4 linked regions of the Tamandua tetradactyla genome follow. The protein of the gene in region 3 purifies or fractionates together with the protein of the main gene of each other region. This does not show direct contact. Links are inferred from orthologs where the notes say so. Each region holds a gene or a part of one and is shown on either strand. Other genes may lie near its edges.

Region 1 (7,298 bases), on a different chromosome or scaffold from region 3:
ATATCTTGAACTTTCCCTTTTCAATCTATACCTCTGCACATGCTGCTTCCTCTGACTGGATTGTCCTTCCATTTTTCTTACAAGACTTGAAAACTACTCACATTTCATTTCCTTTCTGAAATCTTTCCCAGCTGTAGTATTCAACTTTTCGTAAGATCTTTTCTGTACCACTTGCCTCCTACTCATAAATATACTCATAGTATATTTACGGGGCTGGTAACTTCTTCGAGACAATAAGCCCTTGACAGCAGGAGTCCTGCCTCATGTTGTGTCAACAGTCCCGCACAGTGCTTCATACATAACAGGTAATCAATAAGTGTCTACAGTGTCAGTAGACGCGTGGAGGTAGCTCTAGAAATGTACTCTGAGCTTCTATGCAATGGATAATGATGAAAGTGGTTTAACTGGATTGCTGGGCTCTCCTGATGGATAGAAGTTCACCTGTTTGATGATATATGTTAGCTCCTCGATTTCCACTGCTTTATCATCAAAGAGAGACTTGCGCTTTGCCACTGCAGAGACAATGAGAAGGAACAACAGGTCAAAGACAGGGCTCAGGGAGTAAAGTTCCTGAGCCCTCTTTGGTTCACTGCCCCACCTTGGAAAGACCCCAAGAAAAACACTCACAGATTGTCAGCTTCTCCAGCTTGGCAAATGTGTTGCTGAGATCTTTCCCAATGCGCCTACAAACAAGCATTAGTGAAAACACTGCGGAAATGGGTAGGAGAGGGCCTAACTCCATATTAGCTCCAGCGCAACTAACCCCAACCCTCACAGACAAGGCCACCAAAGACAAACCCACTTTTCCTCAGACACATCACCCCAGCAGATGGTTTCTCAACTCACTTGGCCATGAGTGTGAATTCACTTCGCTGCCGGACAGCACGCAGAGCCGGTTTATTTGTCTGGATTCCATTCTGAAAAGCAATGTCAGGAGGTGACAACCTTAGCTCCCCTTCCCCCACTTCCAGCTTTCAGTGTTCCTCAGGTTGTCCACTAAACTCTCTTAGTAGAGCTCAGGTCCCCGGCTGGCCAATCCAGATTTATCAGCAGTAGTACAGAACCCCGATTTGAAGACACATAGACTGGGGTTCTAGTACTTACTAGATGAAGGACTTTGGTCATGTTACTTTAACATTCTGAGTTTCTACTTTCTCTTTTATGTAGCGAAGACAATCCTTCTACCTTCTTTTGCTGCTACAGAAAGTGCTGTAAAGCTCTTAAGTCAAATATGTAACTCACTCACTGTAAGGTACTAAGTAAATGGTAGCAAGTATTGCCATTCTATTCCTCAAATCAGGGACTCAAAGAGTATCACAACTAGAAAGCCCCTGGAAATCACATAGGAGAGCAGTTGTTAGCCAGAGCTGGACACAGAAAATATTTAAAAATGGTCACCCAAGTCCCACCGAGATTCAGAGCCGGACTGAGACAATGTTTTTTCAAGCACTCTAAAGTGATTAAGAAAGCTTCCCTCATTTTAGACACTCAATTTTAGACACTCAATTTTAGAAAAATTGAGGCCCAACTAGATTAATTAACTTTCCCATAGTCACAAAGGAAAACTGTGGCAGAACTAGGCCAGAACTTGAGTTCAAGGTATATGACTGCTAGCTAAAAGTTCCGTCTAGAATCTGTTCTTTGGCCAAACCAAGTATATTGCAGGCACCTCTGGCCCTGAGGTATTCCCCCCATAATAGCAACCCTATCATCAGGGAGGTTCTTCTCAAAAAAGTCTAAGCCCCCGCCTGCTAACCTCTGTTTCTTAGCAGACCCTACTGTTCCATCCAAGCCTTATTAGGAGCTGTCCATCAGCTTCCCACAAGAATGACTTTAGTTAATAGTGTTGGAGCACAGCCCCATTCAGAAATAAGGCTTACCCCTGATCTTTTCCACTCCAGGTTCTTACCTGATGGCTTTGAAGGGACTTGCAGGCAGACAAGAACTCCTGGGTCCGGTCCCGGCAGGACATGGTGTCAGAAAGGGGAGGGATCAGGGCCACTGGGGGGGGCAGAGGGGTGATGTCGCTGCTGCTACTTCCAGCAGTTGCAGGAGACAAGATCTGTGTCTTTGAGAGACCCAGGTAGACACCCTGATCCGTGTTCTTAGACCCGTAGCGTTTCCGGGGGATCATTGAGACGCATAACCTCGGACTGCTGTGGAGGGAAAGGAGTCATTCTCCAGGGAGCCACCTCTTCCATAAATGACCCCCACCCCCCACCCCCAACCAACAAATCCTCCGGCTCCTTCTGAACCTGGCAAGCATTTTAAACCACAAGGCCACTCGTAGATCCTGGGGCCGGCTCGCAGAGGCAAGGGCCCCACTTCCCACCCGGCCCAAGCTGTCCCCTCCTCAGACTCTTTCAACTCGACTCTGGCGACCAGAGCGTGGGGCTGGGGGCCCTGAAGCAGAGACAGAGACAGGGCCAAGAGGCAGGTCCCCAGGCTCTGAGGCTCCAGCCCAGCCCGCAGAGGTGTGCCAGGCCCTAACCGGGACCTCTCCTGTCCTAGGCTCCTTGACTCCTCACAGAAAAACGGCGACCAGCCCTCAGAAGGGGACACACTTCGGTGGACGAAGGGGGAAAACCTCTAGGTGTTTATTTGAAACAGGAAGTCCCACCCACCCCTCGCTGGGTTCCGCCTTCTGGAAGGCTGCAACCACTGATTTGCTAATGCCGACGTCTGTCTCGATAGGTGCTTTTCTGATTGGACCACCAGGTATTCGCTCAGCCCCAGCCGGGTCGGCAGGACCTAGCCGCTGGCCCCCGGGTTCTCGGCCCCCGGGTTCCCCTCCCCCCGCCCCCGCCCGTCGCCGCCCTCGGACCCGGAGCTGCCCCGGCAGCCAGATCCTCTCTTAGAGAGAAATCCTACCTCCTTTCTGCCGCCTGCCGCCGCCGCCACTGCCACAATCTCCCAGGCCGTCACCGCCACCTCCGTGGGGGCCGAAGCCGCCGAAACCCGACCGGAGCTAGAAGCCGCCACGTCACCCGCGCGTAACCCCGCCCCCGGTGACGAGAACGCGGCGCCACGCCTTTTGGGGGCTGGGCGACCTGGGAGGCACGCCCCCCAACCAAGCGCCCGTGCGCCGTCGCCTTCCGATTGGCCAGGCCGACACCGTGACCCCGCCCCTGAGGCGCGGGTGCCGGAGCCCCCGGGGGGGGGGGGGGCTGGGCTAGCCTCCGGGGAAGAGCCTTAAAGAACCCGCAGCCCGGCTGGTGCCCGCGCGGTGTTCCCAGAGCCCGCAGCAGAGGCACAAACGCTCGCGAAGGTCCACGTTCGAAATTTTATTCTCTGGAGGATGGGACGGATTGAGAGTAGGAATGGGGTTACCCCTTCTCCGGCTCCTCCTGGATCACCTCCTGGTTGATCCCCAGGTTCGGAATCTCGTGCCTTTGACTGAGGACTGACTGCCTCTTATTCGACCGTGCCGAGCCCCGACGGCTGAACAGGGACAGCCGCCGCCACAGCACGGTGATCAGAAGGCTTTCGTTCGACTTGCGCTTCCGGTGGCGCGGGGAGTCCGTATCGCTCCCTTCGAAGCCTGTGGAGACGACGATGCCTCTGAGCTGCGCTCTGCCCTCACCGGTCCCACTCCCTTAGTGATCCCAAGGCGGCTGCCCCCTGCCCCGCTCCCCGGGCTCCCTTCCTGCGTCTCCGGGCCCACCTGTCCCGCCTTCCATGGAGTCGCCGTTCCTGGCCTGATCACTGGAAGTCTGAAAGTCCTTGTCTTGGCAGCAGCCCATGGCCCCGCGTGGCCGGCACTCCGTACCACCCCCCCAACCCGCCCACCCGCAGGTCTTTGGCCCTTGCCCGGCTTTTGTGACGTCAGCGGTCCTGCCGCCCCGGCTCCAGGAGTCCCCAGCCCAAGCCATTCATCCCCTCATTTCCCCCATCACAAAAGGCTCCAGGTCATGGTGGGGATTGAGGTGTTTATTTACAAAATGGGTACCCCATCTTCAGGGGCTGGTAGACCCAGGCCGCTTCTTCTTTCTCCGTCTGGTTTGGGGGGCCCCTTGGCTCTGCCCCACATCCGGGAGCTTCCGCTTAGCAGCGGCTTCCAAGGAAGCCCAAAGTTCATCTGTCTCTAGGTCTTCTGGGGCCACCTTGTTGGACTCTTGAGGCTCTTGGGGCTCATCCTGGTGAATGGGGGGAAAGCTTACAGAGACCCACAAGGAGGTCCTAGCTGGGAAATAATCCCAGCTTTCTTTCCTGCTCTAGGATGTCATTCCCATCCCTGCTCTTAGGAATGGCACCTTTAGTAATAACCGTGTCAGGACTATCTAACTTTTAACTTGGCGGTCTGCAATCCAGCTGCCACCTTTATCTCTCCATGGAGAAAACCTCACATCGAAGCCCTTGAATCCCACATTCCCTGACCCAGCTGCTCACCTCCCAGTTGTCCCTGCCTGAAAGGAGGAGGCAGTTCAGCCGAGACTTGAGATAAACCTGCAAAAGATGAGAGACCTTAAAGAACCTAACATGCTGAAGTGCTGGACACAGGAATGGAAAGCATAGGAAGTTGGGGGCTCCAGGGTCAGGCAGGGTGGGTATGTGTGTAGGGGATGAGGTCCAGTGGGATGGCTCTCACCTTATGTTCTAGGCCCCGTGGGTTCTGGATTCTGTGTACCCTCAAGACTCGGTCCAGGCTACAGGAGGCTAGGAGGGGCTTTGAAGGGTGGCACTGCAAGCCTCGGACACTGCCTGCCAGTCCTTTCAGACAGCCCAGCAGGCGCCCTGGAAGAGGGGAAGCATCAGTGCTTGCTGGCGGGTCAACACCACTTGGTGGGTGTTGAATGCTCTCGTCACTTTACATGTCAACATTACATCCTCAACATAATGCTGAGATGAGAGTTACCATTCATGTCTCCATGGGCAGGAAACAAAGGTGCAGCACTGAAACATTCTGCTTGGGGTCTTTCAGCTTTTGGTGAAACCAGGGTTTGAACCCAGGCAATCTGGCACCTGAACGAGGGCTCACAACTACTCCACTTCACTGCTTCAGCGGGAATCGTGCCCTTCTTCCCCATGCTAACCCCCTTTCCCAAGGACCCCCTGGTTGACTCACCTTGCCGAAGGTCAATTTCCGCCAGCTGCCCATGAGTATTTCCCACAATCACTGAGCTGAGGAGACCAGAGACAGGTGGTGTCAGCAGGAACTGCCTGCAGTCCTTCCTGAGCCACCCATCTCTTCTCTCACACTCACTCACTTGTTCCCAGGAGTAAGGGTCATCGCTGTCAGCGGATATTCTCCATAGGTGGCCTCCAGGACTGGCCGCCGCTGAGGGCAGGCTGGATCATAGACACGGATCTGGAGGAAGACTGCAGCATCACTCATGAAACCTTCACCCTGCACAACCATCAGCCCTCTCCACATCCTCACCCCAGCCCCCCTTTAAGCACTGCCTTCATGTTTATGACACACTCTCAGAACAACTTCCCCATGTGATGGCCAGACAAACCTGTGAAGATGAGACTGAGCAAACTGAGGCTCTCAAAGGTACACATATGTTCCTAACCTGTTCTCAGACCAGCACTCTGCTAGGCAGTGCTGGAAACATGGTGATGCAGTCTCTGCCCTCCCATATTCCAGAAAGGACCTAGGCTCTTCTAGTTCGAGCTCCTCACAGACAGGGCGGTGACTTGTCCAAAGTCACCAGGTATCCTGGCCTCATGCTCTCAGAACATCTACAGGGAGGGCAGAACTAGATGTGATCAGAGCAGCCAGAAGGGTAATGGGGGAGGGGTACAAGAACACAGAAGATAGGACTAAGTCCAGAAACTCCCCAGTGGATGGGCAGGGGGCATCCTGGGAACATTCTCACAGTCTGTATTCCCTTAGTCTGCCCATCAAACAGGAAATCCGAGTGTAGGAGGAGCGGGGGTGGGTTTGCTTAGGAATGTGCATGGACAAGGTTGAGGGGACAGGTCTCCCAGGTTGTGGTGGGTGTGTGTGTGTATAGCAGCATTCCAATGGTCTGCAAGTGTGAGTATTCTGCCACGCATCCCCTAATTGAGAGAGTGTGTATGTATGTGGGGGGGTGGGGGTGGATCAGATGGTTCAATTGTCACAAGTCTTGAATTTCAGGCAGAGAAGTTTAGCTTGAGTAAGGAAAGAGAGATGAAAGCTTCGTGTGTGTTTTTGTTGTTTTGTTCTTGGGTGCATGGGCCGGGAATCGAACCCAGGTCTCCCACATGGCAGGCAAGCATTGTACCACTCAACCACCTGTGCATCCTTCATACGTGTTTTGAGCAGAGCATATCACCGCAAAGATCTGACTTCAATGTGTGGGAATGAAGGAGACAAGGCAAAAAAGCAGGACTTCAAATGAGACGAGTCATAAAGTTTCCTAGTACAGCCCTTTCTGTACAAGTGGGGACCTAGGGCTAGAGGCAAGGGTCAGGCTTGACTCCCAAAGCAAATCAGAGGCAGCATCAGGACTGAAACTCAGTTCCATTGGCACCCAGCCCAAGATCCTCTCATGACACCTGCACCCTGCGGATCCAAGTATGAAGGGAACATTCCTTTCAGCTCTCCACTCTTCCAAGCAGGAGGGAAGGAAGAGCCCTAGTTCAGAAAATTCCACATCAGAATGCAATAAGGGAAGGTCACTTGTTCAGTAGTAGGGCTGGAAAGTTTAAGGGAGATGCTCCCGTGCCAAACCGGGGGGACTGAGCCTGTATAGCTAAGCCATTTCTCCAGGAAGCTACTTAGGCCCAGGAGAATGGGTGGGGTGGTGCCTCACCTGGTGGTACCCTGTACAGGTGGCAAGCTTCTGCGACCCAGGAAGGAACAGTATGTCCTGGTCCCAGATGGGAACACGAAGATCAAGCCAATCGTTTCGCACCTGGTAGGAGGAGTTTATGGGGGGTGGGGCTGTGAGGGCCAAGTGTGGCCCCCACATTCAGCCCTCCTTCATTACCCCTAAAGCCCATCTGATCTCTCACTCAAGGTCAGTGGCCTCAGCCTCTCTGGACCTCAGAGCCAGCCCTGTTACTCACGTTCTTGGCCCTGAACACAGGTTCCTCAGAACCCTGCAGGTCCCACACCTTCAACGCATTCTCCTTCCCACCTGTGGCAACCATGTGGAGGTATTCTGGGTTTTGGCGCATCCTGCACACCCCGGAGCCAACCGTCAGTTCCAGGAGCTGAAAAGGAGAAATGAGAATCAGTCCTACAGACCTCAACACTCTCCCTCACTAAAGCCCTCATCAGGCCCCTACCCCCGGCCCCACTTTCCTCAACCATCAGGGCAGGGGTCCTTACTGGGTCAGATGACTCCTCCTTGTCATTGTCACTC
Region 2 (6,857 bases), on a different chromosome or scaffold from region 3:
GTCTTTCAGACTGGAGATTGTGGTGATGTGGCTTGTCTGGACATGCATTACAATGCGCATTTTGCATTTTATGCCACACATGACTGAATGCATGTTTTTTTTTTTAACTTTTCCTTTCTTTAGTTGTTTTTGAAGCTGGTTTTACTTACACTAGCCACAAAATAGTTTTAAATGCAGATAGACCAGAAAAGAAATGCTTTTTCCTACTCTAAGCACCCATGACCAATGCAAACAGCAGGATTTCAGCTGTGTGACACTGTATACGGCCAAGGTCCTGTAATACGCACCTTATAGACTTATTTGAACAAGCTGACACAGGTGTCAGACAGGCACTGATATTACACTTACATCCATCCATACAAAGAGGATTATAAAGACTAAACGATGGCGGCCACGGTGGCTCAGCAAGCAGAGTTCTTGCCTGCCATGCCAGAGACCCGGATTCATTTCCCGGTGCCTGCCCATGCAAAAAAAAAAGAAAAAGACTAAATGGTACACACTGTATATCAGACAAAGTGGTATGATCAGAGGAGGTCTAGGAAGAGGTCTAAAAACACTATACTTTCTGTGGGATACAGATTGGATCCTGTGAAGCAACTAGAAGATATGTTATCTCTGGGTTGTTTTTCTGTCATATCCCCTATCCCAGACAGAGAACAGATTTAATCCTGAGCCCTGTGCATTAAGCCCCCCTCTTTCCCTTCTAGTGACTGTCATGTGGCCTGGGTCTCTGCTCAGGCTCGTAATGAGACGATAGCAAGACGGCTGTGGGATGTCAGCTGTGACCTGCTCAGCATTCCAGTGGATTGACAGGTGGTGGCCGCCAGACCCAAAAGAAGACTGCAGGAGTCTGCTTACCACTCCCTACCAAACTGACTCTCCTTCAGGGCAGCCAGAAAGGAGCAAAATCTTCCAGCCTTGCCTGCTTGGTATTCAGTAAAAGGCCAGTACACTGCCAGATTCATCTAAATGCCTTTCATTTGTCCAGATCTATTTTATTCCTGTTACTGCCAGAATTACTAGAATATAGAATATGAAAACCCTCATATGACTTGCACAGATCATATTTTCTCCCCAAAACCTAATGCATAGGAGGAGCCAAGCTATGGTAGGGTTGATTTATGGGAATTTGGACTAGTTACTTTCCTCTTTATTCACCATGTATTTCCTGCCACCCAACCTTCTTGACTTTAAGAGGACCACACTTGCAGCCTCATCTAAACTCCAGGAATCACAGTGACTTGGCTCAAGAGCAGAGTTCCTCTTTCACTTCTTTAAGAAAACCCTCACAGCACCAATATCTGGATTCTTTCAGAAAACTCTTAACTGACTCTGGACTATGGCTCTGCCTTATCTTTGACAAGCCAGAGTCACTTTGTTAAGACACTTTCAGGTCTAGACTATAGAAGAGCTTCCTTTTGTAAGTAGTCTGTGGGGTTTGGTTTTAACTGTGGGAGGGAGGCAGAAATAAACATCAAGTTCAGAGTGTCATTTTCCTGCTGTTTCTCAGATCAGCAAGCAGGGGGCATGAAGAGAGCAGTATGATGGCCACCTGACTTCAGTTACTGACCCAGTACTCAGCAAGGCTTCCTTTTTTTGTGCCCTTAGCTTCTCAGAAAACCAGAAGAAGGGAAAGGCTGTTTGTCATTGGGCTTATCTTTGTGTGTTTTCTTGTGTATCTCTTCAGTTGGGAATATTTTCAGAAAATTCAAAACAGCCACAAAGGAGGAGTATTAAACTGGACCTCCATGCAGGGTCCACATCAGAGATGGAGCAGACCAGTGTCAGTGTCATTCCGTCTTTGATGCACATGGGTAGAGCTGCTAACGGATGCAGACTCTGCATTTGTTGATAACTTCCCACCAAGAAGCTATCCATATGGATAGCAGAGAAGTCCAAAAAAGGGAAGAATCCTGGGAGATATAAAGCATGCAATGAAGGAACTAGTTGAGGATTTATAAAAAAGACACAAAACGTCTAAAGACAGGAAAAGCTATAGCAGAATTGAGGGTAAGCACTGAATCACCTAGACTGATGAGACCCTTATTGGTTAACAAGAACCAATCGACCAAGGTGGCGGGCAAAAAAAAAAAAAAAAAATCCCAATTCTTTACTCAGAATAATTATCCTAAGGACTGACTTTCAGTAATTACATTCAATTTAATAACCTTTCAAGGCATTTCTTTATATTATCTTGACAATGCTAAAATGTCTATTTGGTAAAAATCTGTATTTTATTTGGAGGACTTTTAATAAAAGTAATGCAAAAAAATAAAAATAAATAAAGGGCAGTGCAATGGTGGCTCTAATGCTGCCAGAGGAAATCAGAGAAATTGGTAATGTTTCATCACTTGTTTACAGTACATTATTCTATCAGAGTCTGAGATTTTCTTGAACTGGCAATTTATATGTTTAACTTTGGTAGGGAAAACAGTAATAGGACCACAGTCTCCACTTCTCATAATTGTAAATTAATAATCTTTTGTTGAGATTGTTTTGACCATTGAAGTGTATATTTAGAAATGGTCATATTATGGAAAATAGGAAATCTTTTGTTTTGATGATAATGCAGTAGAATAGCTGAATTAATACTTTATTACTTGATTTAAATTGAATGTCAGTGACAAATAAAAGTCTTTTTGATTATGTTTTTACTTACCAATTTAAAAAGTATAAGAATTCAACAAAGGTTTAATTATATGGTCAAAAGAAGAAAATACTTTTCATTATTACAGTTATTCATTAATTCCTCATTCTAAAGAATGATTTTCCCTGTCTAGCTGCAGTCCAGTTTCAGTTCAAATGACATTAATTTGGGTTTTGTGATAATTTGATTATTCATTCACCTAATTCCTACTTATCTTCTATGACACTGTTCAGATACCACCTTTTCCCATGTTTCTTGTTTATTCCAGGCTATCTCTCCTTTTTATATCTGCTCCTTTACTTCCATAACACAGTCCTATGGGACTTATATCAGTTCACTGCCACTAACCCCAGACTTTGTTATTTCTGTATTCTCAGTGTCTGTTAGTAACTCAACAAGGGCTTGTTGACTCAACTGTCAGCGAACTCAATCTGACAAAAATAAAGGTCTAAGAGATAGAAAGCACTAAAAAGAATATTCATATACTTTTTCATATGTGTAGGCAGTTTAAATATTGGGCTTCCAAGCAAACATTTCAGTTTAGACAAATGGTGAGGTCAGTGAAAATAGGAATTTTCTTCCATTAACCATTACACTAAGTATTTACACCCATGGCGTGCAGGAAATGACTAAATTGTTAACACATTGCATCCAGTGGTAGGTAGCCAGGTCTGCCTTCTCTACCTGATTATAAATTACCCCGGGACAGAGAGTAAAATTGTTTTATTCACCATCATATCCACATCCCGGCACAATGCCTATAACAAGCCCCTGTAGAGTGAATGAATGCAATGCACGAGGCAACCTCATGCATTACGCGAGCCGGACTGCTAGAGGCTAAGAGTGTGAACTTTGGGGTCACACTGCCTGGCTTCCACTTCTGAAAGCGTGTGACCCGTGGCCACCTGACCTACCCAGTATAAGCGCTTTACCCGCCCATGGGCAAGTAGGAACCCGGCCCGACTACCTTTCGAAAACGGAAAGTTAAGGTATGAGTCAAGACATGCACTGAGGGGGTCAAGGCATATCTTGATACCAAACCACTGCACGTCAGCGGCGACCCCGAGCAGCCGCGGTGCTGACGGAACCACCCACTCCGCGGAACGCGTGACTCCCGTCATCCGCGCCGAACTACAACTCCCGGCCTGCACTGCAGCGCGCGCCCTTCGCCAAGCCCGCGGGGCCTCGGAGGGAGGCGGCCGTGCTGCCGGGTCTGCGGCTTCCTTCCCATCTTTCCGCTTTGGCGCCCCAGCCAATCCCAGGCCGGGTATTTCCGGGCCCGGAGGACCGCAGCTCACCCCAGCGCGGCGCCGCTCCTCCATCAACCCTTCGGCTGCGCATCTGGCCTGATTTTCTGTCAGGCGTTCGCACTCGACGCTTCCGGGGCGACGCGAGAGAAAGAGAGAGAGAGAGAGAAAGGGAGAGAGAGAAAAGGGGCGGGAGAAATGGGCGTTCCAGCCTGAAAGGACCCCGCTGCCGGCCCCGGAAGCGCCTCGCCTAGGCGGTGGCGGGGGTCGTCGTGATGCTGGCCGGCCAAGGCGGCTGACTGCCGGGCTAGGAGCAGATTCCCGAGGCCAGAATCTCGGCGGCCACAGCCGAAGTGCGGCCTGCGCCATGGCCACCTCCGCGGTCTCCTCGGAGCATTTCGAGAAGTTGCATGAAATCTTCCGCGGCCTACTTGAAGATTTACGAGGAGTGCCGGAGCGGCTGCTGGGGACAGCGGGGACCGGTGAGGCGAGGGCTGGCCGGGATGTGGGAAACTGGGCTCCTCGCGCTCTGGGAAGAAGAGCCCCGACCCTCCTCCCAGACCCAGGCTTTTCTCTCCCTGTTCCTCATCTTCAGACGCGCCACAGGGCTGGCTAGGTTCCGTAGCCAGGATCTCCCCGCCGCCACTTCGACTGGGCTGAAGACTCAGGGAGGGACCTCGGGGTGTCGTCTCCCAGGGATCTTCCCTTTTGATCTTCTCGTGGCCCTCTCAAAATTTTCTTGTCTCATTTTTTCGTCATGGCAGAAAGAGCACAAGGGTTCTTAAATCTTTTGTAGACTTATGTAATTTATTTTGTGCATTTAAAAGCATCGCAAACTGGTGTTTAAATGTCAAGAGACATTGGGTTGAAAACTCAAAAAGGAATCATTACTTTGAGATTCAAAAATTTGTTAAGAGTTGGTAAACACTAGCGTGGTAGGGGAGATTTTAAAATCAGGATTGTGGTCTTGAGGTGAGGTCCTGTTGTGAAGTTTCTTGCTGCTTCCTGCCTCTTGAGTTCAAGCTTCAGGTTGTTGCAAGCTCTGCCTAGAGCTACGTTTTTTCATTTAAATCTGTAGGAAATCCTGTCATAGCTTCTTGGCTCTTGCTGAATAGATCTGTATGGCAACGAGAACAAGACTTTGAGTTTGCTCTCTGAATTACCAAGGACATGTGAATTGAGTGACTAGTGAGAATGAAATTCATATATATTTTTTTAAACAAATATTAGAAGACTGCTATGTGCCAGGCACTGTCCTAGATACAGTATCACAGTGAAAAAGACATGCAAATCTCCATTCCAGAGGGCGGATGACAAACAATATTTAAGTATTAAGAGGAGTTGTTAAGGGCTATACAGAAAAATAAAGCCCTGTAAAGAAGTAGAGTGAGGGAGGCACCAGTTTTAAATAGGGTGGCTGGAAAAGGTCTTTCTGAGGAGGGGGGTATTTGAACAGAGACTTGAATGAAGTGAGGGAGTAAATCATGCATGAATCTGGTAGTAGGGTTAGGAGGAGGGACTAGCACTGCAAAGGCCCGTAAGTAGAAATGGGTTTGGTATGTTCAAGGAAGAGCAGTAGGGCCAGTGCATTCCATGTGGAGTTGGCAGAAGGAAGAGTGGTGGTAGATGAAACTGGAGAGAGATGGCCCAGACCATATGGGGTCTTGTAGACCATGATAAAAGATTTGCATCGTCTTCTAAATGGGATTCATTTAAAGGATATTCAGCAGTAGAGACCAGGATCTGATTTATATGGTTGAAAAAAAGACTGCGGTTTCAGCCTGGCACTGAATTAAGTTCTGCGACATCCATTTCTTTAATGCTAAATAATACAAAAGGGTATTCCATTTTGAAAAATAGAAACCTGAGTTATATTCATCTTTGTCATCTACTTAACATTCTTCCCATTCTTGCAAAGAATCTAGTGAAAAGATGTGCAGTGGTGCTCAAGCCCAAAGTACGCTGACATAAATTGCATGTAATGGGCTTAATTAATTAATGGCTAATGTATACTATATATACATTCTCAGGGCTATAATAAAACTTAATCTCATTTTTCACTGTCTTGTCTGTACTTGTCTTTCAATAAATGCTGAATAAATCGAATTTAATTAAGCAAACACTCTGGGCCTCTTTTCCAAATCCTTCTTTCCTGATTCTGAGACCACTTCATAAACTTTTCAGAGATTTAATTCTCACTGTGAGTTGGTAGATACTGTGTAATGTCTATAACTCAGCCCTTGCATTTAGCTTATGATCTGTAGCTGAATTCAGTTATTTTTCAGTTAACATTTATTGAGAATTACATGCGGCAGTCACTTTCCTGGGCCCTGAGAACTCCTAAGAGTTCTTGCCTTAAAGGGAAGCAAATTTACAACAACGTGTATGATGCATCCTAAAATAAAGTTCTCTAAGACCATTAAAAACAACTACCTTAAGCATGGGAGAGGGAGGGCAAAGTTTTACACTTGGAGTTGAGTCTAAGGGAAGGAGTAGGTGTTTGCTAGACAGAGGGGAAATGGGAAAAGGCAACAAAAGAATTAAAAATTGGATACTTCCAACTATAAGTGGCTTCAGGTGTGTGGGGGAGAGTAGTAGGAGATGGGGAAAGTGAGGTAAAGCCACATTGTCAGGAGTCCTAAGTGTCACATTAAGATCCTGGGACATGATATGGAGAATCAGTAAAGGATTTTAAGCAGGTGATACGGAGTGAGGGAGAAAAATTCAAGGGTGTCTGTGTTATCTCACTTGGCCAATAGAATGAATGATGAACTTAAAAAAGAAATAGGAGAAACAGACTTGTTGGGGCTGTGGTAACTCAAGGCTGGGTGTAGAATAGAGATCATAATGTATCCCTTTCAACCTGACAAGATATTTCTTCTCCTGCCATTTAAAATAATACTTATGAAAAACATATTATATCCCCCTATTCTATATTATTGACAGCACTTTCCAACATGAGA
Region 3 (7,204 bases):
CTTCCAGCTGGAGGAGGAGGATGGGGAGGGGGCAGGGCCCGGCATCGGTGCCCTGCAGTGGTGAGCCCCACCCTGCGGCAGCCTGCTGGGCTAGACGGGGGGGAGGGGTCTCCAGGCCTCTCGTCTCCCTGTAGTCTGTCCAAGAGGAGACCTTGCCAAGGTGCTGGCCCTGCCTCGCTGCCCCCACTCTGCATTGTCCCACGCTGGGCACATGGCCATCGATCCGCCGGAGGAGCACACAGTCACCCGGCATTTGTGAAGTCCCTGTCATGGGGGTGCCAGAAGTGCCATTCTTTTTATGTTAATCGTCTCTCCCTGCCTTTTGCTTCCACTCCTCCTGGAGCTGGGAGACTTGGGGAGGGGAAAAAGTTAGATCTGGGTAGCTCTTAAGTCTTAGCCTCACTTTTGGGGTTTGGTTATATTTGTTAGATAAGGCCAAGATTTAGAGAATCAGTGGGAAAATACCTTCAGATCTCCCCCAGCATGTTGGGGCCTCCCTAAGTAGGTGGTCTCTCTGCACTCAGGATTCAGTCCCTAATCTTGCAACGACTTGTACATTGTTAGGGTTTTTTTTTTTTTACGTGTCTACTTGTAAATCTTATTAAATTGGGTTCTTGAGCAGCTGTCTTCTGACTTCCCTGGCCTGTTGATCCCACAAAGGCTTTTGCATCCCTGCCTCATTCCAGGGCCACAGAGATGAGTAAGATGGGTTCGTGTCCCAGAGGAGCTGGTAGCCTTGGGAGGCAGAGGGGAGGGAACAGGCAGATTAATTTGTACATTCATTAAGCGCCTACTGTAGCGTGGGCCAGACATTGCCCAGCCCAGGTATGGGGTTGTGGTGACTCAGGAGGAACAGGGCCCCCTTCTTCAGAGAGCTCACGTTCTAGGAGGGAGATAACAGTAACAGAGATGCGAACGAGGCGATTTAAGATCTCAAGGGTGGGTCTGCTTTTGGCCACAGCACCAAGACTGTCGTTGTAAGTGTGAGCAGTCAGGGTGTATGGCTCCCGTGGCTCTACCCACAAAGTCAAGACTGCAGCAGAGACAAGATTCAACTCCTCCCACAATAATATCCATATCGTTGGAGGTTCACAGATAAAGAACATATCCCTTCCTTCCTAGTTTCTCTTGTTAAGAAAGGAAAACTTGCATAAGCTCCCAGCAGCCTGCCTCTTGTGTCTCATCAGCCGGAACCATAGCCTGTGCTCATTTCTAAACTCCTCCCGGGCATATGGAGCAGAAATGATCACTGTTTCCTTGGACCACTCAAGGGTTGTCTCGGGGACCAAGGAAGACCAATGTATGCCCTCAAGTTTATTGCCACCTGAACAAAACTGGAAGTCTCTTAGCCAGGAGAAGAGAAGGACATGGAAATGGCTACTGGGCAGGCAGACCACAGTGTCCTCCCACCAAGTGACATGAAGGAGGTGAAGGAGGGGCCAAGTCCTAGGAGAGGACCAGAGTGCGGCAGGCAGTGTTAGTGGGACAGCTAGAGAAGGCCTCACTGAGGGGCCTGCTGAGTTGGGATCTGGATCCCAGGCTGCAGAAGGGCAGAGTGCACTCTCTGCGGCTAGAGACCAGAGGAGGTGTTAAGTAGGAAGTGACAACTGACAAACTGCCTGAAGAAATTTCTCTGACTGCTGTGGAAGATGGGTTGTAGGAGGCAAGAGTGGACATCGGGGGAGTAGATAGACGCCTCCAAGGTAAAAGATGCAATGTACCAGGTTGGGTGGTAGCAGTGATGAGGCAAAGAAACGTGTGGGTTAGGGGTGCATTTTGCAGGTGGACTGCACAGACTTGGAAATTGAAGAGGTAGTGAGGAAAAGGATAGGATCAAGGCTGGCCTGTGGGTTGGGGGCTTGAGCAGCCGAGCAGATGCAGAGCAACCACCGAGATGACAGGGCACATCACTGCTTGGCCAGGTCTCTAAGGGTGTGCCCTGTGTGTAAGGATCTGGCAGGGGGAACAGGGCAGACGGTGGTGCCAGGTTTCACAGAGGGCTGATATCTCAGCCGAGTTTTCAAGACTCGGAGGGAGGAGGAGTAGAGGAGGAATTAAGTTTGAAGCAGTCCAGGCTCAGGCATCAGAAGAACCAGAATATGCATCCTGTCTCCCCTTCTTTGTGACCTTACGCAGCTCACTTCCCCTGTCTAAGCCTCATTTTCTCACCTCTAAAGCGGATTGAAAAATGCCTATCCCCATGTATCCATTAAATGAGATTGAAAAATGCCTATCCCCATGTATCCATTAAATGATTAGGTATTTTGCAGGGTTCCCCATGTGAATTTTACAGCTAACTTTCGATGAGTTCTGATGGCATTACTATCATCGTTTGGACTCCATCCTAAATAATAAGTCAAACTTGCTCCTTGGACTTTGAAACAAAAGCCTAGCTTAAAGAGTCAGGGAGTATAGTAGTTATTTGTTGCTCCATAACAAAATACCCTCAAGCTCAACAGCTTAAAACAAGTGGAAGCTTTTAGAGTAGTGCCCCACTGACAGACACAGAACCAAAACTGTTTGTGGTGATGCAGACCCACCCCCACCTGATCTGTGGTCAGGATGCAACAGCAACCACAAATAGGTGGTCCAGGAAAATCTAAGAAGAAGAGTTGGGCAACGGTTTCTTGTGCCTCACCCAGCGTGTTCGGTGCCCTCCCGTCCACCACCCGATCACTGTTTTCTCAAACTGGTTTCCCAATGGTCTGCATCTGAGTCACATGGAGGGGAGGGGACTGTAAAAAAAATGCAGATTCCTGTGCCCTGACACAGACTTTGAGAATCAGAATCTTCGGATTTAGGGCCCTAGAACCAGGATTAGGAAAAAAACAAAACAAAACAATTTTAGATTTATAGAGAAAACTGAGAATAGGACAAAGTGTTCCCACATACCCCACAGCCAGTTTCTTCTTCTAACATCTTACACTGGTGTGGTATTTTTGTTGTTTAGATTTGTTAAAATTATTGAACCAATATTGATACATAATTATTAACTCAAGTCCATACTTCATTCAGATTTCCTTAGTTTCAATCTAATGCCCTTTTTCTGTTCCAGGATCCCACATCACATTTAATACTCACGTCTCTTTAGGCTCCTCTTGGGTGTGAGTTTCTCCAAATTTCCTTGTTTGTGATGATCTTAACAGTTTTGAATACTGATCAGGTATTTTATAGAACGTGCCTCAATTGGGATTTGTTGTTTTTCATGTGATTAGACTAGGGTTGAATGTTTTGGGAAAGAAGAACCATTACATCACATCTTATCAAAGATATATACTAGCAACATGACATCACTTTGTGTTAACCTTGGTCATCACCTAGCTGATGCAGTGCTTCATTTCTCAACTGTAAAGTTACTTGCTGTCCTGTCCCGCACCCCCCCCCCCGCGTTGATAATTGAAAAGGAAGTCACTTTGTGCAGCCCACACTTAAAGAGTTGGGACTTAGGCTCCTTCTCCTTTCAGTTGGTGCATGTGGCCCTTTGATAAACCCACATCGTGTTTGTGTGATTTGTTTTTAGCACTTCCTTACTTTCGGACACTACAAAATGCTCCGCCTACGTGTACTTTCCCTCCCCCTGGTTTCTTCTATGGGAGAATGATAGTAGGAACCAAGATCTGGAGACTGAATGGGCTGTGCTCAAACCTCAATTTTAACACGTTCTCCCAACTATTGCCCTTGCAAGCAGAGTTTAGAAACCTCTGCTCTCAAAGTTACCCAGGACTAAACCAGTTCCAGCATCAGTCGGCAGAGGGCGTAAGAAGAGGCAGAAAAGTTTATTTTCCACCACATACGCGAAGAAGGATGGCGCGAGGTAACACCACTGAGGCAATACTGAGCTCTGCGCAAGGGAACTGTCAAACTCGGGCGTAGGCGTGCGCCCCGGGCTGGGGGTGGGGGGGTAGGGTTGTCACGTGAGGCCCGGCGGTCAGCTGACTAGTGCCGTAGTTTCCCAGGCAGGGCGGACCCCAGGCGAGGGCTGCTGTTGCTGATTAGCGGAGGAGGCTCCAGAGAGGCCGCACTCTCGAGCAGGTCCTTGACGCTCTGATTGGCTTAGCTCGTGTCACGTGGTGGTGTCGTACGCGTGCGCCGAAGCTGTGGACGCCGACTGGTGGTTGCGAGTCACGGGTCTTCGTGCGCCGATTAACAGGGGCGGGGCCAGCGGGGCGAGCGTCGCGCTCCACGTCGCGCTGGTTGGTCGGCGCGGGTCACATGGCGCCGGGCAGCAGGCGATACGTGCCGGTGCGACGTCAACGCAGCCTGCTGAGCTCCGCCGATCCGCCTGGCGCGGCGGGTGCTGAGTTCTCCGAGGGCCGGGCCGGGCCGTTTGCTGAGTCCCTTCGCGGCTGCCATGGACAATTCGGGGAAGGAAGCGGAGGCGGTAGCGCTGCTGGCCGAGGCGGAGCGCAAGGTGAAGAACTCGCAGTCCTTCTTCTCCGGCCTCTTTGGGTAAGAACAGGGCCGAGGGGCTGGCGGGACCTCGGCAGAGAGAACGGGAGCGCGGCCTGAGGCGGCCGGGGAGGCACGGACGACTCGGGCCGAAGGGACGGAGGGAATTCGGGATAAGAGATAAGGCCCAAGGCAGCAGAGGGGACACAGGCTGAGAGCCAGGGGGCCCCGGGCCGTGCAGCGCGGTTTGAGGGGAGGCTGAGACAGCGGAGGGAATCTCGTACGAGGGGAGACAGGCCGAGGTGACACCATCTTGAGGCGACGAAGGGGATCCAGGCTGAAGACGGGCCAAGGGATGGGAGGAAACCTTGGGCCGAAAGTCTTTAGTCTGAGGCCTGGAAGGGGGCTCGGCCTGAAGGGATTGCGGAAGCCGGGAGGGCAGCAAGGTTGAGAAGCCTTTCGGAGCGCAGGGAGAGCCTACTTGCGGGATCCCAGGCGGACGCTATGGGGCTCCGGACTGAGATCACCTGCCCTAGGGGTTAACCTTCCCCAGGCCTCCGGTAGTGGATTTCCGGGGGCCAGGTGACAGGGTGAGGGCTGGTGGAATCTGATACCAGGCCGAGGGGATCGGGGCTAAGGTGGTTTGGAGGTGATGAGTTCAAGACTGAGGTGTGTGAGGATGCCTGGGGTGAGTATGCGCCTGGTTAGTGGTGACTAATCTAAAAAGTCTTATACTTAATGGGACCTGGGTGGAGGAGGCCCAGGGGTGATGGAGTTAAGTCTGAAGGCAGGGCGGGAGATCTGGGCCAAGGGGCTGGAGATCTCTAGGTGTGAAAGAGGTAAGGGGACTGAGAAAACCAAAAGGGGGCTGAGGACACGATGTTTGATCGTTGAATAAAGATTCAGAAGGAAGATCCCTCTGGCAAACTAGGAAAGGGGCCTTAAAGATGTTGGGGGACAACTCACACCAACAGCGTGGCAGACATTTCACATAAAATTCATGTTAGCTCAGACAAATAATGCTGATGATTCTCTTTTGAGGAATCTGAGTGGTTTAGGAGTGTCACAAAGTGTGGCTTTGCTACTTCATGATGTTGGGTAAATTGTTTAACTTCCCTGTTAAAGGGGAGTGTGGGGAAATCTATCTCATTGGTTTCCTTGGAGTGTTGAATAACAATATGTGTAAAGTGCTTAACTTGAGCTTAGCACGTGGTTAAAATTCCAGAAGTGCTAGCCAGCGTTATTAACATTTCTGTGCTTAAGATTTGGAACCTGGAGAGGACTGGAGGGGATGGAGGTAGGGGCCTGAGGGGAGAGGTCTGGGAGGAGTTGAGGGGATGCGGTCTGAGAATGAAGAAGCCTTTGTGTGACAGAGCAGAAAAAAGAGCTGAAATGGTGTGGAAAAAGGGCTCAGGTCCAGGGGTATCCAATAGGGTTAAGGGGAGGGGCTTGAGGCTCTGGGCAGAGGAAGTAGAAGGGAGGGGGAAGGCTGGGGGAAGGACCTGAAAAGGTGAGCAGAAGGCTGTCTGACCTGATAGGAGGCTTGCGAAAGGGACTGTGGGTTTGTAAAGAGTTGAGAAGAACTGAAGTGGGGTGCGGGGCACAGACTCAGGATCCAGAGAGAGGCAGAGACTGGGGATGGCTGTGGGATGGAAGAATCTTCCAGAAGTCTAGATAATGGGATTTGGAGGAGGCCCCGGAAATTGGAAGAGACTGAGTTAGGAACCCAGCAGAGATTGATAAGAAATGAAGGGAAGGTGAAAGGAGCCTCCATTGTTATTTAAGATTGAATAATATTTAGCAAAACTAATTTGAAAAAGTATCTGAGCAATGATGCCTAGTGCAAAGAAACATCCAGAGCTGATGGGATTGTAGGGGAGGAATTTTGATGTTAGAGACTGAGAAGAGAGAGAAGGTATGTATGTGCTGCTGCTTCTTTCCTCCCTGAAGCTCAAGTGCCGTGTTTGATGGTGGGGCCAAGAGCTCATTTTCAGGTAGTGAGTCATTTTCCTTGTGTGGCTCTGGGTGTCTGGTCCCTTCAGACTGAAATTCAGTGTACTGTTGGGTTATGCATGGTGGGAGCAGCTCAGTCAGGCCGGTCAGAGCCCTTGAGGCACATGCAGTCTGATTGGGAAAGCAAGACGAACGCTTGCCAAATCCAGTAAAGCAAGATTGTCCGATGTAATAGAGGGCTAAATTATGTTGTGCAAGTGAAGTTCCTGAAGTGGGAGGCAACGGCATGTCCTGGAGGAAGGCTCTTTGTGAGCAAGGCCCCAAGAAACCCTAGGATTTGCTAAAGGAATGGGGGCCTGGGAGGGTGTGGTAGGTTGCAGGAATAGTGTGGGGGGTGGGGGCAAGAAAAGTCTAATATGAGGGGAGGTTCTGTCTAGAATGATGGGAACTAGGGGACCAGGAAAGTCTTGTGAAGGAGTGGCTAGCCTGGCACCATCTTGGAGGATAAGTAGGGTTCTAGTGGGGGAACAGCACTCCAGGCAGAGGGAACAGCGTGAGCAATGGCTCAGAAGTGTGAAGGGCAGTGAATGAAGGTTTAGCTACAGAGAGTTCCATATTATTAGAATGTAAGGTTAGAGCAGGGAGGCTGGAGATAGGGAAGAGGGCAAGGCCCAGTCCCAGAGTGCTTTGTGAGAAAGAGCCTGGACTTGAGTTGCTGAAGAACACTGAGGAATTTAACAGGAGTAGGATGGCTCCTGTTCAGCTTTTGGAAAGATGAGTGCAGCAGCTGGGGGGAGGAGTGATGGGGGATGGAGGAGAGTAAAGGCAGGAGGCTGTGGCGGCTGTGACAGGTGGTAGCAGA
Region 4 (6,940 bases), on a different chromosome or scaffold from region 3:
AACATAGTGAATCCAGTTGTGGATGATGAATGTGGTTAATAGTACTGTTCTAGTTTGCTAGCTGCTGGAATGCAATATACCAGAAATGGAATGGCTTTTAAAAAGGGGAATTTAATGAGTTGCTAGTTTACAGTTCTAAGGCCGAGAAAATGTCCCGATTAAAACAAGTCTATAGAAATATCCAATCTAAGGCATCCAGGGAAAGATACCTTGGTTCAAGAAGGCCAGTGAAGTTCAGGGTTCCTCTCTCAAGTGAGAAGGCACATGGCGAACACAGTCAGGACTTCTGTCAGCTGGAAGGGCACATGGCGAACACAGCGTCATCTGCTGGCTTTCTCTCCTGGCTTCCTATTTCGTGAAGCTCCCCGGGAGGTGTCTTCCTTCTTCATCTCCAAAGGTCGCTGGCTGGTGGACTCTGTTTTGTAGTGTTGCTCTCTCTGAATCTCTCTGAATCTCTCATTCTCCAAAATGTTTCCTCTTTTTATAGGACTTCAGAAACTAATCAAGACCCACTCAAATGGGTGGAGACATGTCATACCCTAATCCAGTTTAACAACCATTCTTAACTAAATCACATCAACCAGGGAGATGATCTCATTACAGTTTCAAATGTACAGTATTGAATAGGGATTATTCTACCTTTAAGAAATGGGACTTATATTAAAACATGGCTTTTCTTAGGGGACATGCTTCCTTTCAAACCAGCACAAGTACAAATACAAGAATGTTCTTCCATGAATTAGAACAATACATGTCAAAACTGCAAGATGTTGGTAATAGGGTGGTACATGGGAAAAAAATTTACCTAATGCAAATTATAGTCTGTTAATAGTAGCATAATGTTCCTCCATCTATTGTGTAGCAAAGGTACGCACTGAAGCTGAGTGTCATTAATGGCGGAGGGGGGAGATAAGGGATATAGGGTTTTCTTTTGGGAACTATGAACTATGAAAATGTTCTCAAATTGATTGTGGTAATGTAAGTACAGCTCTGTGATTATACTGAGTGCTATTGATTGTACACTTTGGATGGACTATATGGTGTATGAATAAAACTGTATTAAAAAAAAGGCTAAAATATAATCCACAGAATGGGAGAAGATATTTGACAATAATCTGATAAAGGTCTTGTATCTAAAATACATGTAGAAGTTATACAAGTCAGTAATAAAAAGACCAATGAGCCAAGGATCTGAATAGACATTTCTCCCAAAAAGATACACAAATGGCCAAGAAGCACATGAAAAAAAAGCTCAGCATCATTAGCCACCAGGGAAGTGCAAATCACAATTGCAGTATGTACCACTCCACAATCACTAGGATGACTATAATCAGAAAGACAGGTAATAGCAAGTGTTGGTGAGAATGTGGAGCAATTTAAACCTTTATACATTGGTGAAAATATAAAATGACACAGCCACTTTGAAAAACTGGCAGTTCTTCAAAAGATTAAACTAAGCATAGAATTGCAATACAAGCCAGCAACTCCACTTCCAGGTATCTACCCAAGAGAAATGAAAATGTGTCTGTATCTATATGTCCACATAAAAACTTGTACATGAATGTGTATAGTAGCATTATTCCTAATGGCCAGAAAGTAAAAATAACCTGTGTCCATCAATAGGTGAATGAATAAATAAAAGAAATGTTGTCTGTCTATCTAATAGAATATTATTCAGTGGTAGAAAGGGACTAAGTACTCTTCTGTGCTACAAAGTGGATGAACCTTGCAAATATGGTAACAAAAGACCATGTATTTTAGGATTCCATTTATGTGAAATGTCCAGATTAGACAAATCTATAAAGGCATACAGTAGATGCAGAGATTCAGAGTCGCCTAGGATTAGGAAGTTGGGGATAAATGGGGAATGACTACTAATGGATACAGGTTTTCTTTTTGGGGTGATGAAAATATTCTAAAATTGATTGTGGTAGTTGTTTGGGGAGGGGGTCCCAAAGCACCCAGTAGAAAAATGGACCCATGGAACAAGGAAGGGAAATACAGAGCAGCCTAACCTCCCAGGTTTTCCAGGCCAGCTTGACACATTCCACCATGCACCACTGGAACCAGTACTTCCTGCCAGGACTGACACATAGGACAAAGCACATATTTCATTGTGGCCTTTTCTCTCCTACAAGAAATATATAGTGGCTTCTTGTTGCAACCTAAGCCAACTAAACCCGGCATCTGGGGCCCTCTCTCTGTGACCTTGGCTTTGTGTGAGGAGCTTTGAAATCAGTACTGTGAAGTGGCTCTCACCTCCACCTTGTGCTGGTCGAGTTACCTTGGACAAGTTATTTAATCTTTATCAACCACAGTTTACTCACCATTAAAACAAAGATAATGCTACTGACTTTAAGGGGAGTTTGTGAAAATTAAATTAGATGTCTATGTCAGATGCTTATCACTTGGCAGACGTGTAATAAATGTTAGGTTGTTCCTCTCTTCCCAGCCAGGAATCATCCGATCCAGAGTTGGCCTGGGGCCTCCCCTTCCTGTGGTAATCACCTTCCCCCACACTCTGGGTCCCTTGGCTCCAGGCACCCTGACCTTGCTTTGTGTTCTCTATACCAGTCATAGCCAGACATCCAGAGCCTATATTTCTGGGTTTTAAACCTTTTCAGGCAAGGGTAATAGTGATGAGTCCCTGTCACTTTTGCCTAGCCCTTGGCCTTTTACTGCTTTGTGTTGTTTTTTGTTGTTTTACCTTAAATCTGTCTTCTAAATTGCAAACTTGATTTGAACACTTTATATCTTTATTTTCACTTTCTTTGGATCTTCCCAGTGCTTAGTTTAATGCTGGTCATGGATTAGGCTCTGAGGGAGCTGACTTGGCAGCTGACCACCAACTACTGCAGTAGCCTCTGCGCACTCAGTGGAGCAAGCAGGGTCATTGAAGCTCTAGGAGTGCAGTCCCCTAGTCAAGGTGCAGTCCTTTTTTCTGCCTTCCAAACCCTGAGAAGGTAGGGTGGATTGAAGAAGGAAAGAACCTCATCTTGTCTCCTTCCAGTAGCAGTATCCCAGCTTGGCTTCTGATCCTAAGACGCTGTTTCTAGAAGAGGGGGGCCCTCCTTTCTCCTTTCTCTGTTGGGAAGTGTACTGAGCATTTATTGAACGTTCTTTCTCTTCCAGCAGATGGCTCTGCTATCTCAGATTTGACCTTTCCCATTACGAGAACCCCTAGTCCCGTGTTCCCGAGCTCCCTACTTTAACGATCCTTGAACTGGATATACCGTTTTCTTAAAAAATCCTCCTCTTTCCTTGAGCAGAGGAAAGAAATGTGTGTGTGTTGTGTATGTGGATTAAGTTAGATTTAATGAAATTTCTGGGGATAACCTGAATTCTGTGTTCATCTAACAAATGTTGAAGTGCCTGATCTATGCCAGGAATTGTCCTAAATGTTGGAGAAAGAAAGCTAAGCATCATGCAGCTCATCTTATATTTGCTTTTAATTTCATCAAGGAGAAATTATCTGAACAATTAAAATTCTACCCAGAAACCAGACTTAGTAAACCTGTCTTGGAGAGCTGCTCAAGGAAGTTTTTAAAAGAGAATGTGCAGCTTGAACGTTATTTTAATTGTTTAACATGTTTAACATGACTGTCTAATGACCAGTTTTTTTCTCTAGACATGAGAATTTTGCTGCTTGATTTTGACCCTGTTCAGTTAATCAAGTTTATAATCTCCCAGATTGATAATTTGGAAGATGTAAACCAGTAACATTAAAAATACAATTTGACTTTTCTTTTTATGTTATTTAGGTCATTGCTTAGAGAAACTTCTGTACGGCCCCCCAGCATCTGATGAAATTAGTGAATAAGCCAGTCAACCATGTCTTACACTCCGGGAATTGGTGGGGACCCTGCCCAGCTGGCCCAGCGCATCTCTTCCAACATCCAGAAGATCACACAGTGCTGTGAGTTGATTTTTAAATGACTTCCTTGTTTGTTTTTAATTTTTAACTGAAATTGGTGAAGGTTCATAAATAGGCAAGTGTAGTGCTGAGGGAGGGAGCAGCACACCATTGGCAAGAAAGGAGACCAAGAGGCTTACTTCAATGGATGAAGCAGGTATACTGTGCTAGGAAAGATAAGCTGTATTTAGTAAGAGGATGTCTTGAGTTGAGAGTCATCTTCTCTGGAATGACAGTACTCAGGCTACAGAAGCACCAAGTAAAGATTGAGGGGTTGCAGATTGTGTATGAACTTGAGCTGGAAAGAAGGAAGGGTTAGCTGAAACCAGGCTGCACTCCCTGAGAAAGTGATCAGTTGGTCCAACTAGATGAGAAGTGATAAGTTGGGGTAGAGTTGAATATTCATGGCATGTTGTGACAGCTTGTATGAGATGACATCACAATCTGGGGCAGCTTTGGTGTGTGGGAAGATGAAGATTCACCACTGTCCTGCATGAAGCGCTGTAGAGCAGGCTGGGAGCACTCTGCCAACAGGAGCTTCGATCACTGCCTTCTGATATCTGTGTACTGTCATTTGTGAAACAGAACTGTGTCCTGCATGGACTTAAAGGCCTCCACAGTTGAACAGAAGCTGCAGAGAAGGAAGTGTTTTTTAATCTTCCCAGTTGTTGGGGGTGGAATTACCTGGCTCAGGAGAGGTGAGATTTCTGTTACTAAAGTGACTAATATTATAGAATAGCCAGGTAATTCTTAGGTCTGTAATTAAGAATTTTAAATATTGGCATTATGGTTCAGAATAAATGTCCTTAATTTTGAGACTCTATTTTATCCATTCAACAAGCATTTTATTGAGCACCTCCTATTTGCTGAGCAGTACCCCACACATTGGGAGTACAGTAGTAAACAAGTTCCACAAGGCCCTGCTCTCATTTTATGTACAGTAAAGTGAGGAGAAACAGATAGTAAACAATTAATGAACAGCACAGTTTCCTTAGAAGAAAATGAAGTGGAGATAATGTGGAAGTGAGTGAGTGGGGGAACTGCCTGCGCTTAGTTGGGCCCCTGAATGAGGGTGAGAAAGGCTGGTGGTGAGAAGACAAAGAGAAAGGGCATTTCTGATGGAGTAAATAACTAGTATTAAAAACATTAAAACAGAACAAAGCTGGGGCGTTCAGAGACAGAAAGGCCAGTGTGGCCAGAGAACAAACCAGAGGGGCCGGAGATGGCAAGAGAGGAGCCTGGGGCCCATTATTGTGGGAGTGTGGGGAGTTTGTGCTTGATTTTTTGAGGCAATGGAAATCTAGCAGCAGGTTTTAACTAGGGCAGGGAGGAGAGTTTTGTTTTATCTGAATAAATTTTGAAATGCCTTTTAGACATCTAAGTCAGATATCTAGCTTAGATATGTGAATTTGCATTCAGGTGTCATCAGAGTATTAATGGTATTGAAAACCACAAGTCTAAGATAATCACAAGAGCAGGAGTGTTAAAGATGGTAGAATTCAAAGAGTCAGAAGGAAGCCAGCAAAATGAATCTGAGAAGATGTGACCAGTAAGGTAGGAAGAAAATCAGGGATTTCTGGGAATCAAAAAGTGAGGGTGTTTCAAAAGTAGGTGAGGCATCATCTGGGTCTTGCTGCTGAGAGGCAAAGGTAGAAGCAGAGAGTTAGATTTGGAAAATTGAGATCACTGGTGACTTTGAAAAGAGTGGTCTCAGAGCCATGTTCCAAGAGATTTCTCAGAATTCCACCCACCTCTGCTTCTGCTCTTGGCCGGATCCAGTCACATAGGAACACCTAGCTGCAAAGAGGCCTGAAAATATCTTATAGCTGGATTGCAATGTGCTCACTAAAGTGAGGATTTGCTTCATTTGAGTGAAAAGGGAAGAATCAGCATTTCTTAGGCAACTAGCAGATTCTACCTAGGAGGTGGAAGGAGGGTCAGAGAAAGGATTGTATTTTCTACCACGAAAGGGAAATACTATAATGTTTGTGTTTAGTGAAAATGACCCAAAAGAAAGGGAGAAGTTAGGAAAACAAAAAAAAAGTGAGCGTTTCATTGTGAAAGGAATGTCATTGAAGGTGAGAAGGGGCAAGGAATAATGGAAAACAAATGAGTGGTTCACCTTTCATCCCTCTACAGAGGTGAGGCAGAGGATGGGGGGCAAGAGTTTTTGTGCCAACAGGTCCAGTTTAGTCATTGGACAGAGAATGAGAGGGAGGGACATTGAAAGTTTACAGGAGAGGAGAAAGTGGAGAAGTCAAATCACGTGTAGATTTGATTATTGAGAGAGCTAACAGATCGAGGAAGCAGAGAAGGTTCTTGGCAGGTTGTGTATTCATTTAAGATTTAGTATTGTGAATTTAGTGAAGCCAGTCAGCACTGGGTATTTTTTCTGATTCTGAGACAGTGTCTAGATGAATGGAAGGTTAGCTATAGATAAAGTTATTGTTAAAACTATCACCCACCATTCCAGCGTGCATCACTGGTAAGTGATTTGCAGAACTCAGGTGGAAGTGAAAGGCAGATACAAAATTTCAGTTCATTTTTTCTCCCCTTTAGTGATGCTAATAATAGTGGATATGATTGAATGAAATGACACTTTGCACCGCATTTGGTTCTTCTCTTCACACTACATTTGCGTTTTTAAAATTTGTGTACAAATTAGTAGATTTTACAAAAGAAATCTTGGCATGATACTGTAATATCATACCCTTAGAGTTAGAATATGTGCATCTCTTCACCTAAAGCTAAAGTCTTGCTGAGTAATGCAAAAGTCTTGCTGAGTAATGCATTGGGCAAGTGTTATTTTCTTACTAGATTTCATTAAGATAAGTGAAAACTTGTAATACGTTGAATTGTATTACTTTATACGAAAAAGAAACTAGCAATCAGAAAGAATTTTGATTCTTGGAAAAGTCCAAGAATAACAATATTTAAAGTTGAAATTTTGTTTTCTTTTACTAGTATTATATATTGAACGTTCTTTGTTTGCAAAGAAAAAGGTAAATAAAACAAGGTTATTTTTAA

The links.
Region 1: the proteins of NAPA (region 3) and STX5 purify together in Homo sapiens (affinity purification with mass spectrometry; 3 studies listed by BioGRID and IntAct, with this or other methods). This does not show direct contact. The link is inferred for Tamandua tetradactyla from reciprocal best matches to the Homo sapiens genes NAPA and STX5.
Region 2: the proteins of NAPA (region 3) and VTI1B purify together in Homo sapiens (affinity purification with mass spectrometry; 3 studies listed by BioGRID and IntAct, counting the BioPlex papers as one, with this or other methods). This does not show direct contact. The link is inferred for Tamandua tetradactyla from reciprocal best matches to the Homo sapiens genes NAPA and VTI1B.
Region 4: the proteins of NAPA (region 3) and STX7 purify together in Homo sapiens (affinity purification with mass spectrometry; 4 studies listed by BioGRID and IntAct, counting the BioPlex papers as one, with this or other methods). This does not show direct contact. The link is inferred for Tamandua tetradactyla from reciprocal best matches to the Homo sapiens genes NAPA and STX7.

What each region holds. Positions count from the first base shown.
Region 1 is NC_135335.1:11,753,389-11,760,686, reverse strand, and holds the start of STX5 (syntaxin-5), read right to left. Parts: upstream 3,022-7,298; 5' UTR 2,872-3,021; intron 2,616-2,871; exon of another isoform or gene 2,492-2,615; intron 2,157-2,491; 5' UTR 2,135-2,156; coding exon 1,910-2,134; intron 918-1,909; coding exon 847-917; intron 684-846; coding exon 628-683; intron 513-627; coding exon 442-512; intron 1-441. Other genes in the region: TEX54 (testis-expressed protein 54), read right to left, coding at 3,327-3,541, 3,665-3,743; WDR74 (WD repeat-containing protein 74), read right to left, coding at 3,957-4,136, 4,390-4,446, 4,589-4,734, 5,066-5,121, 5,208-5,308, 6,744-6,845, 7,000-7,146, 7,265-7,298. UniProt on the Homo sapiens protein: Mediates endoplasmic reticulum to Golgi transport.
Region 2 is NC_135338.1:25,310,006-25,316,862, reverse strand, and holds the start of VTI1B (vesicle transport through interaction with t-SNAREs homolog 1B), read left to right. Parts: upstream 1-3,836; 5' UTR 3,837-4,261; coding exon 4,262-4,376; intron 4,377-6,857. Other genes in the region: RDH11 (retinol dehydrogenase 11), read left to right, coding at 708-810. UniProt on the Homo sapiens protein: V-SNARE that mediates vesicle transport pathways through interactions with t-SNAREs on the target membrane. These interactions are proposed to mediate aspects of the specificity of vesicle trafficking and to promote fusion of the lipid bilayers.
Region 3 is NC_135342.1:13,632,108-13,639,311, forward strand, and holds the start of NAPA (alpha-soluble NSF attachment protein), read left to right. Parts: upstream 1-4,194; 5' UTR 4,195-4,351; coding exon 4,352-4,449; intron 4,450-7,204. Other genes in the region: ZNF541 (zinc finger protein 541), read left to right, coding at 1-64. UniProt on the Homo sapiens protein: Required for vesicular transport between the endoplasmic reticulum and the Golgi apparatus. Together with GNA12 promotes CDH5 localization to plasma membrane.
Region 4 is NC_135351.1:32,621,734-32,628,673, reverse strand, and holds the start of STX7 (syntaxin-7), read left to right. Parts: upstream 1-3,931; 5' UTR 3,932-4,511; coding exon 4,512-4,611; intron 4,612-6,940. UniProt on the Homo sapiens protein: May be involved in protein trafficking from the plasma membrane to the early endosome (EE) as well as in homotypic fusion of endocytic organelles. Mediates the endocytic trafficking from early endosomes to late endosomes and lysosomes.